2 linked regions of the Rattus norvegicus genome follow. The protein of the gene in region 2 binds, or shares a complex with, the protein of the main gene of each other region. Links are inferred from orthologs where the notes say so. Each region holds a gene or a part of one and is shown on either strand. Other genes may lie near its edges.

Evidence for each region. Proteins that work in one complex are often made in the same cells at the same time.
Region 1: the proteins of Rasip1 (region 2) and Rap1b are in contact, whole or in part, in a crystal structure (PDB 5KHO), measured with the Homo sapiens proteins. The link is inferred for Rattus norvegicus from reciprocal best matches to the Homo sapiens genes RASIP1 and RAP1B. Residues at the interface, in NP_060275.2 of Homo sapiens: Val147, Lys149, Ala156, Ser157, Gly158, Ala159, Asn160, Tyr161, Lys162, Ser163, Val164, Leu165, Glu181, Arg182; in NP_001010942.1 of Homo sapiens: Val24, Gln25, Asp33, Pro34, Thr35, Ile36, Glu37, Asp38, Ser39, Tyr40, Arg41, Glu54, Leu56, Phe64.

What each region holds. Positions count from the first base shown.
Region 1 is NC_086025.1:55,310,829-55,315,609, forward strand, and holds part of Rap1b (ras-related protein Rap-1b precursor), read right to left. Parts: intron 4,769-4,781; coding exon 4,628-4,768; intron 2,820-4,627; coding exon 2,676-2,819; intron 1,705-2,675; coding exon 1,618-1,704; 3' UTR 1,588-1,617; intron 1,357-1,587; exon of another isoform or gene 1,244-1,356; intron 5-1,243; 3' UTR 1-4. UniProt on the Homo sapiens protein: GTP-binding protein that possesses intrinsic GTPase activity. Contributes to the polarizing activity of KRIT1 and CDH5 in the establishment and maintenance of correct endothelial cell polarity and vascular lumen.
Region 2 is NC_086019.1:105,231,819-105,237,145, forward strand, and holds the start of Rasip1 (ras-interacting protein 1), read left to right. Parts: upstream 1-1,780; 5' UTR 1,781-1,877; intron 1,878-2,045; 5' UTR 2,046-2,049; coding exon 2,050-2,186; intron 2,187-2,711; coding exon 2,712-3,376; intron 3,377-4,283; coding exon 4,284-4,639; intron 4,640-5,327. Other genes in the region: Izumo1 (izumo sperm-egg fusion protein 1 precursor), read left to right, coding at 79-232, 536-755, 1,336-1,513. UniProt on the Homo sapiens protein: Required for the proper formation of vascular structures that develop via both vasculogenesis and angiogenesis.

The sequences.
Region 1 (4,781 bases), on a different chromosome or scaffold from region 2:
AGACCTGTGGAAGGGGAAAAAATAAACACATTAACAGAAACAGTACAATAAAGAATGAAAGGAAACACTAAGATAAAGGTTCTTTTTTTAATCTTTATATTTAATGACAGCAAAGACATTTTTGTATCTTTTTCCAAAAAAGATGGTAGTCCTAAAAGCCAGACCAATGAAAACTCTAGGCCAAAAAAAGAAGGGGAAAAACAGCTCTGCACAAGTCAGGTGTGGTGGCACCTGCCTTTAATCCCAGCTTTAGGGAGGCAGGGGCAGGAGGATCGGAGTTCAAGGCCAGTCTGGTCTACAGAGTAAGTTTCCAGGACAGTGAAACCCTGTCTTGAAAAAACCAAGTCAACCAAACAAAAAGCTCTGTGCAAATTTCTGTATTACTTTCCAAAGACTAAAAAGCCAAAGAACTTGGGAGCGAGAGACAGCACAATGGTAAAGAGCACTGGATGCCTTTCCCGGGACTCAGGCCCCATTCTCAGCACTTACAAGGCAGTTTACTACTGCCTTTAACTCCAAGTCCAGGGGGTCCAATACTCTCTTCTGGCCTCCCTGGACGTTGGGCCACGTGGTAATCATACATACATGCAGGCAAAATACTTACACACACACACATACACACACACACCCTCCCCCAGAAATAATCAATCTTAAAAAAAAAAAAGGAAAAAATTACATTAAAATTTATGGTCAAGTCATCTTACTAGAAGAATTAGGGCTAACAGACAATAGCAGTATTAACTGAAAAACAAACAAACAAACAAACAAAAAAACCTTCATTTCCTTTTTTTTTTTTTGGAGACAGTTTCTCTGTGGCTGTCCTGGAACTCAGATCTGCCTCCCTCTGCTCAGTGAGTGGGATTAGAGCTGTGCCCCACTGCTGCCATCACCACCACCAGGTCTCATTACCCGCTTGTATAATCTATAAAGTGTCTGCTTAGTCTCCCTTTGCTTCTCCTTGTTCTCCCTGCTGGGGATCCTTCCTCCAGCACTGCTGACTTGCACCTCAAAGCTCAACGCTTCCAACTCTGACAGACTTGCCCTAAGCTCTGATTTCACAGCAGCTGGTGCTCCTCAGAGCTCACGGCAGCACAGCAGTGAGCATGGACTCAGACGCTGGGCAACCTGTTGACATTCTGGCTCTGCCGGTGTCACCAACTGCAGGGCTCAGCACTGTTTACCATCCTGAGTAAGGAAAGCCTGACCGTCCCAACTGTAATCTGGGAATACTGAGAGCTCTTGCCTGGAAGGCTTGTTGCAGACGTCCTCCTGAGTGAGCAGAGACCACAAGCCCTAGTCGGCACACCGTGCACATCTTAAAACAGTTTGTCGATCTCTTCTATATGTCTCAATCATCTAAATGCAATTAAGAGGGACGAGAAGTTGGCTCTGATCAGCAGCTTCAGAGCCCCACCGGGATATAAGCATGCACTGAACAAACATAAGATATTCACTTATGCAAAGCACCTTCCTTCTGATGATAGGTAAATGAAATATAGAATGAGTTACTAGGATTACCACACCAAGTCATGATATCTACCTGTAAGGATTAACTTCACTCAGTGAGATGAACGTAATGTAACGTACCTGGCTCAGAGCTACAATGCATTCAGTACATTAAAGCAGCTGACATGATGACTTTTTGCGGGCCTTCCCAGGCACTGGGGTTTTTCTGTTAATTTGCCGCACTAGGTCATAAAAGATCTGCAAACACATTATTATTATTATTATTATTATTATTATTATTATTATTATTATTATTACCATCACTACTATTACTATTACTGTTTTAAAGAGGAAAAACAAACTCAAAACCCAAAACTCTTCAGAACACAAACTCTTTTACAGAATGAGTATAAAGCCAGGGCTCTTACAAGTACCAAGTTTTTTGTTTTAAGAAAATTAAAACTGTTTCCCTTCAAGTAAGTTCTTTAAAAGCCACAGAATTCTACTTAATTCAGTTAGATCTCCTACAAAAAAGGAAGTCCCTTACTGTCTCATACTGCTCTGTTCGCCTCTGTGCCTTTGCTCGACAGGGCTTCACCTACTTCAAGAACCATGCTATCTTTCTGAGGTTTGGCCTTTTACATAAACTCCCTCAAATACTCAATGAAATTATGGGTTTCTAAATTTGGCTTTCTGTCTAACTTTCCCTTTAAAATAATTTCACTTTATATGCATTACAAAGAAACTGAAATATTGTTACTCATTTATATGCATATGCTGGACAAGATTTTTTTTTGGCCTATAGGAGCACATATTAATTTGAAGTTCTTTGCAACACGCTTCTTTAATTAATTAATTAATTTTTGGAAACAGGGTTTTTCTGTATAGCCCTGGCTATCTTGGAACTTACATAGTAGATCAGACTGGTCTCCAACTCAGAGATCTAACCGCCTCTGCCTCCTGAGTGCTGGGATTAAAGGTGTGTGCCACCATCATGTGGCAAAAATTTATTATTTTTATTTATGTGTGTGTTTGTGTCATGAATTTATGTGCATGATGTACATGCAGGCTCCCAGAAGAATCAGAAGAGGGTGTTTGGATTCCCTGGAGTAAGGTTTCCAGATGGTTATGAGTCACCATGTCAGTCCTGGGAACTAACCCAAGGTTCTCATAACAGTGAGTCCCTCAATGATGAGCATAAAACGTTATTCTAGCACGCGTGCACGCACCTCGTTAACATTTATCTTGGACTTGGCGGAGGACTCTAAGAAAGCGCAGTTGCTCCACTGTCTTGCCAGGTTCTGACCTTGTTCCTTCCCGACAACTCTTTCGTCTTCCAGGTCGCATTTGTTACCAACCAGAATCATTGGGACCTGCGGAGACAGTCACGGGGTACACACAGTTACAGACAATAAAGACCAAGCTATACAGTGCTTACACAAGAGGGAAATGTTATACCACACAGACCCCATCGCAGGAATCAAAGTAACTTTTTAAACAGGAAGTACAAAGGGTGTCACCATGAAAAGCTGGCAGATTTCAACACTTCAAAATGTTTAAGGGTGTGAACCAACTTCACGTTTTTTGGTTTCTGACACACATTTAATGAATTGCACAATACAAAAAGGAGAAATTAAGAAGACTCCTAAAGTAGCAACTTCAGCTTCTCACGGTCCTAGATGTAGCCTCTCATTTCCATATGCTATGATGAAATAAATCAACTTAGTAAAAATAAAGGAAGAAAGAAAGAAAGAAAGAAAGAAAGAGAGAAAGAAAGAAATCAACCCTTATTAATGGCCTTGAGTTTGGACATATCTAATGTTCGTAATTTTAAAAGAGCAGTACAAGGAAAAGTGGTGCAAACCACTAATGGCCATTTAAAAAAATAAAAATAAATTTCTAAAAAATTCAAATAAGGAAAATAAGAATTTAAGCTTTTTTGGGGGGGTTGGGGATTTAGCTCAGTGGTAGAGTGCTTGCCTAGCAAGCGCAAGGCCCTGGGTTCAGTCCCCAGCTCCGGGGGCAAAAAAAAAGGATTTAAGCTTTTAGAAGAGATTAATTTTAAAAAATATATCTGATTAATGAAATTGTAGAAAATGACAGCATCTACCACTAAGATTCTTAGCTCTTTCAATATTAGTGTCAGTAAAGTATATGACTAGTCCTCCTCATGCCCCCAGGCTCACTATAAAGCTCTGGTGTCCTGGAACTTGCTACTTAAGCCTGAACTTGAAATCAAAGAGATTTGCTTGCTTCTGCCTCTTGTGTACATCCATACGTCCAGTACTACTATGGTCATTAAAGTGTAGTGCTCCCACCCAAACATCACCTACAAACTTGTCAGAAATGCAAAGTCTTAGGCCCTACACTAGCTTTACTGGGTCAAAAGTTATGTAGCAATTCCTACCGTAATTCTGATACAAGATCAAAGAATCTTAAGAATCAATGCCACAGGTAATAGGGAATTAAAGCCATCTTTCTGAAATGTATAGATTTCAGACTCTATTATGCTTCATTCTGCAGGGACCCCTAAATCAATGTTTTAGAGTTGAACATATTGGCTCTTTTCCTTTAACATTATGTTCCTTTTTCAATAGAGACATAATATAGACATATGGTCAGAGATAAATGTGGCTAGATATTCCTTTAAAAGGCTGTGTCCATCGACCCAGCACTCGGGAGAAGGCAGGAGGCCTGCTCCAAGTTCAAGGCCAGCCTGGACTATAGGGAGAGTCCGTTAAGTCTACCGTGAATGTAGCCACACACAGCCTGCTCTATTAATATCTCTCTCCCACATCCTTGCTGCATCTCCACAAATGCATGGTCTAAAAATAGGCAATACAAAGCTAGGAGGTAGTAGTTCTAGTATCCGGAGATCAGACAGGATATCTCGCCTGAGCAACAAACACTTAGACTATTTAAAAAAAAATAGGAAAAAAAAAGGCAAGTTGGATGTTGGTCATAGACACCTTTAATCCCAGCGCTTGGAGGACTGAGGCAGGCAAATCTCTCAATTCAAGGCCAGTCTGGTCTACAGAGTGAGTTCTAGGATAGCCAGGGCTACACCAAGAAACTCTTGTCTCAAAAAACCAATTAAGCTGAGTGAATATTTAAATTTTAAAATGGAATATTAACTAGAGGTTTGGAATAAATCTAAGTATTCATTGTGGAGTCTGCTTACATCGTCAGTGTCTTTAACCCGAAGAATCTGCTCTCTTAGATCCTGTAAGTCATTAAATGTCGACTGTGCTGTGATGGAGTAAACCAACGCAAAGCCTTGTCCGTTCTTCATGTACAGATCTCTCATGGCTGTAAACTGCTCCTGTAGTAGGAAG
Region 2 (5,327 bases):
CCCCATGACCTTCTCACCCTGTACTCCCCCCAGTTCCCAATTCCCCAGGCCTCTGTGACCCCTTGAGCTTGGGTCTAGGTTTGGGGGAACAGTTCTGAGACCTTGATGTCCAAGGGAAAAGAACCTTACCTGACCAAGACGATGGTGGGTCCAGAGGATGCTGGCAACTACCGCTGTGAGCTGGACACCGTCAACGCTGGTCCCGCCACCATCATCTACTACCATGTCACAGGTCAGTCTGGGGGTTGGAAAAGAGACATTCAGGATGGGAGAAGCTCTGGAGGTGTGGCCTCATCTGTGGGACCTGATTTACTTTGGGCATGGCCTTGTTGTTGGCTATATAACCAGGGTCTGTGCTGAGGGGTGTGGCTTCTCTTAGAAGGTCTGTTTCCCGGTCGTGGAGGTATGGGTTCCTGCCTAACCAGGTTGCCTTAGGCCTCAGTTGGACTTACTGCGGTACCCACGCTCTAGAGAGGATTTTGGGGTTGCTGTTTCCGGCCGCTGCCAGGACTACCCTCTGGCTTTCCTCTGTCAGTATTGCCCCCAAGGTCTGTAGAGGAAAAACCACCGCCGAACATCGTAACCCAGGAGGAGGAAGAGACCCCTGTCCAGGTGATTGTACCGACGCTGGAGCCAGAGCCGGAGCCAGAGCCCATACCTACAGTTACCCATCGTCCAGAAAAAAAATTGAAAAGCCGCCTCTTAATACTGTTGATCCTTGGCTTCGTGGTTCTTGTGGCCAGCGTCATTGCCTCGTGAGCTGTTCAGTGGGAAATTTGGAGGGAGGGTGGGCCTTAGATAAAGTGGGCTTACACGGAGGGAGGGAAGAAGCGTGGGTGCAGTGGGGCAAAGGCATGGACAACGAGATGGGCTTTTGAAAGGAGCATGGCTTGATAGAGGGGTTGGAGGCCTGGGTAAGAGCCTGGTGTGAGGACAGAGGCAGGCTTGATGGAGGGGAGGGGCTTGGTGGAGGGGAGGTGCTTGATGGCAGGAAGGGGCTTGATGGAGAGTGTAGTTTTGGATACGGAGAGATTTAATAGAAGGATGCAGACAAGGGCTTGGATGGATAGATGGACAGACAGACGAGGCTTCAGTGAAAGGGCAGGGCCTGGTGGAGGGAGTGATTTGGAGGGGGCTGGGCTTGGGTGGAGGGAGGGGCTTCCTACAATCTAGTGCTGGCACAGGACAGGAAGCTACTGGGCACCTTCCTTTGGGGCTCACTTAGGAAGACAAGGCTTAATAAACTGTGAAGTTAGGCTTGTGGGGGTTTAGGGAAGTGTGTACTTCACTCAACCCATGACCTCATGTGGTTCTGTGCACCTATGTCTGCCCCAGGGTACTTCACTTTAGAAAAACCAGAGTTAAATCGAAGAACTCAAATGTGGAAAACAAAACCTCTGCGGCAGAATTCAAGTCAGAGGCGGAATCACCCCAAAAGATGGGATCGAGGAAGCTCTCTCAGGCAGAGTTTCACACTGACTCTTCGGATAAGGTTGAGGAAGCAGATAACTAATAAAGATTTGATGTGTTGTCTCAGTATTTGACTTACTCTCAAGGCCTGGTCCTGACTTCTGGATGCACCTCCCGAAACCCCAACTGAGGGGGCTGTAGCTGGAACATGGAGCCTCCCTTTGTAGGCCATGAGTGGTGGGCCCAGAATCAAAGCACAGGCCAGCCCTGCCTCATCTCCTCCCCCAGGCCTGGTCTCCTCACAGGACGCCCCCTCCCCGCTCTTCCTGCCGGGTTTCCTCTTGCCTTTTCCTGTCCTCCACCCAGTGCTGGGAGCTTGGGCAGAGGAAAACACTTTACAGAGGGATTGGGACTTAACGGAGGCCAACGGCACCAGGGCCTCCGGGTGCTACAGGACCCGAAGCAGGGTAAGAGCCACAGCAATGACTCACCCATCCTGGGACCTAGGAGTTCATTGCTTTGCCCCTCTAACTCCCTGGGATTCAGGAACCAGAACTGAATCTCTCTTCCGTAGCTTCCCACCCCACCCCACCCACTGTGGCCTTAGGGCTTGGGGCCTTACCCTCTTTCCTTAGGGCCATGCTATCTGGTGAACGAAAGGAGGGCGGAAGCCCCCGCTTTGGGAAGCTCCATCTCCCTGTGGGCCTGTGGATCAATTCCCCAAGGAAACAGCTCGCCAAACTGGGGCGGCGCTGGCCTAGCGCTGCCTCTGTCAAGTAAGTGACCAACCTCTATGGTGTGCCTGCATCTGTCCCTATTTATCTCTGAGCCATGCCAGGGACCCTACAAAAGTGGGCAGTGATTTCTGTCCTAAATAGACAAGTGACGGGGGGTGGGGGTGGGGGGGTGGCAGTGGAACAAGGTGACAATGAGGCACAGAGGAGTGCATCAGGCTGGATGGGCACTGGGATGGAACACAGTAGATATCTCTCTGTTCACTTTATTTCTTACCAAGGGTTCTATCTTTATTATATTACTTATCTTACCTCCATTCTTCCCACCTCACACCACCATCTTGGTTTTCTGCCCCCACCCCTGTCTGTGTCCCTCTCTTTGGTTCTTTGTCCCTGACTCTTTGAGTTTCTGTCCCTCTCCCTCTCCCGGTTTTTCTGTGTCTTCGGCACATCTCTCGGGGTCACTTTTTCTCTGGGTGTCTCCCTGTGTGTGTGTGTCTGTCTCTCAGTGTGTGTCTCTGTCTCTGATTCTCTCTTCTGCGTCCTCTCTGCCCACTTCCTCCTCAGGTCCTCGTCCTCCGACACGGGGAGCCGCAGCAGCGAGCCCCTGCCGCCACCGCCGCCGCCGCACGTGGAGCTGCGGCGCGTTGGTGCGGTGAAGGCGGCGGGGGGCGCCTCGGGCAGCCGAGCCAAGCGCATCTCGCAGCTGTTTCGGGGCTCGGGGGCCGGCGGCGCCGGGGGTCCTGGCACGCCCGGGGGCGCGCAGCGCTGGGCCAGCGAGAAGAAGCTGCCTGAACTGGCGGCGGGTGTTGCTCCGGAGCCCCCGTTGCCCACGCGCGCCGCGGTGCCCCCGGGAGTGCTCAAGATCTTCGCGGCCGGGCTGGCGTCGGGCGCCAACTACAAGAGCGTGCTGGCTACGGAGCGATCTACCGCGCGCGAGCTGGTGGCGGAGGCGCTGGAGCGCTACGGGTTGACGGGCGGCCGCGGAGCGGGCGACAGCGGCTGCGTGGACGCCTACGCGCTTTGCGACGCTCTGGGCCGACCCGCCGCTGGCGTGGGCGGTGGCGAGTGGCGCGCGGAGCACCTGCGGGTGCTGGCCGACGCCGAGCGCCCCCTGCTGGTGCAGGACCTGTGGCGCGCGCGGCCGGGCTGGGCGCGGCGCTTTGAGCTGCGCGGCCGCGAGGAGGCCCGTCGGCTGGAGCAGGAGGCCTTCGGTGCTGCGGATGCAGACGGTCAGCCGGGGAAGGGCATAGAGACTTGGGGCGGGACCTAGGGGACAGTGGGATGACTGAGTCTTGGACAGGAGGTGCTGGGGGCGTGGCTTACAGAGAAGAGGCGGGGCCTGCAGTATAAAAGGCAGGGACCTGGGTGAAAGGTGCTCGGGTTCTAGGAGGTGCTGTTGGCGGGGGCTAGGGGAGGGACGGGCACAGAGTAGGAAGATTGGACTGGACGTGCTGGAGTGAGGTGTACACAGGGGAGGTGGAGCCAGCAGGACAAAACTGGTGGTGCTACTGTGGGGCGGGACTTACAGACGGGGTCTGATAAGGGCAATAGCATGGTTAAGGAGTATACCCTACATGATATATCTCTTATTACTTTACCTTTGGGGTATAGTTTATTTTATTTTAACCAAGACAGGGTTCTGCCGTGTAGCCCTTGAACCCTTGATTTTCTTACCCGAGCCTCTCAAGTGCTGTAATTATAGGTGCACCACCACGCCTACAACATTCTTTCAGTTTGAATCTCAACGAACTAGGTGAAGGTTCAATGGAATAACGTATATAAAGGGCGTAGCACAGGCTTAATAAAGAATAGGGAGGGGGAAAGAGTTGGTCCAGCCGATTAGAGCATTGGCCTACTCTTTCAGAGGACCCCGGTTTAGTTCTTAGCACCAACATGACAGCTCACAACCGTCCTTAACTCCAGTTCCAGGGGATCTGACATCTTCCCATAGACACACATTCAGGCTAAACACCAATGCACATAAAATTTTAAAAAATGTTTAAATGTTTTTTAAGTTTAAATGCACAAAAAAAAAAAAAACCCTGCATGTTGAAAGAATGAATTTCTAAACTGACAACTCCAAGTTGGAGTCGGGCAAAACAATGTCCAGAGTTAAGAGCCTTTATTTCTCCACAGGCACAAACGCCCCATCTTGGCGGACCCAGAAGAATAGGTCTCGGGCAGCATCTGGCGGGGCAGCTTTGGCCAGTCCTGGTCCAGGATCAGGATCCGGGACCCCCACTGGGTCCGGGGGCAAGGAGCGATCTGAAAATCTGTCGCTGCGTCGAAGTGTGTCTGAGCTGAGTCTACAGGGGCGGAGGCGGAGGCAGCAGGAACGCAGGCAGCAGGCACTTAGCATGGCCCCAGGGGCGGCTGATGCTCAGATGGTGCCAACGGACCCTGGAGACTTTGACCAGTTGACTCAGTGCCTCATTCAGGCACCCAGCAACCGTCCTTACTTCCTTCTGCTCCAGGGCTACCAGGATGCTCAGGTTAGCACCATCTCCCCTACTCATAGAGCCACACCAGAAGAAACACAACGCCAGGAACGCCTTGGGTTGAGGCCCCTCTCCAGTATAATGGCAGCTCCCACAGGGTTCCCAAGTAGGAAACAGCACGGTGGGAGCTGAGGTGGAGGGCAGATACAAAGATCCCATTTGAGGGGTATAGTGAATGTTTCCTTCCATTCAGAGTTGGAAGAAAACATGATCTTGGTCAAAGGCCAGTCCATTGTCAAAAGGACAGCCCTAGCAAACATCCGTTTCTTGAAGGAAAGTCTGTGTCCTGGGTCAGGGAAATCTTTGTTTGGTACCTAGATACTTGTTCTGGGAATGGCAGCTTTCTCGATTGGAGAAATAGGCTAATCCACTTATAAAGGTTCACATGGAAACCACCTGACCTCTTGTTTATGGAGGCAGTGAAGCCCGGATATATTTTCATGTCTGTAGTTTTGAGGATTGAACCCAAATCCTTGCACCAGCTAAGCAGGTGCTCCATGATGTGTTTATAAAAAGATAAAGAGAAGGGGTATATGTTTTGGTGGATGTGTGCCGAGGCATCCCTTCCCCCTGAGGGACCAGCCACACGACGGTATAATATAGAATAGAGTATATTTAGGGTATGGGGTTGACAGGGTAGCAGGGACAGAGAAAGGCAGAGAGAGCAGAGGAGTAGAGGCTG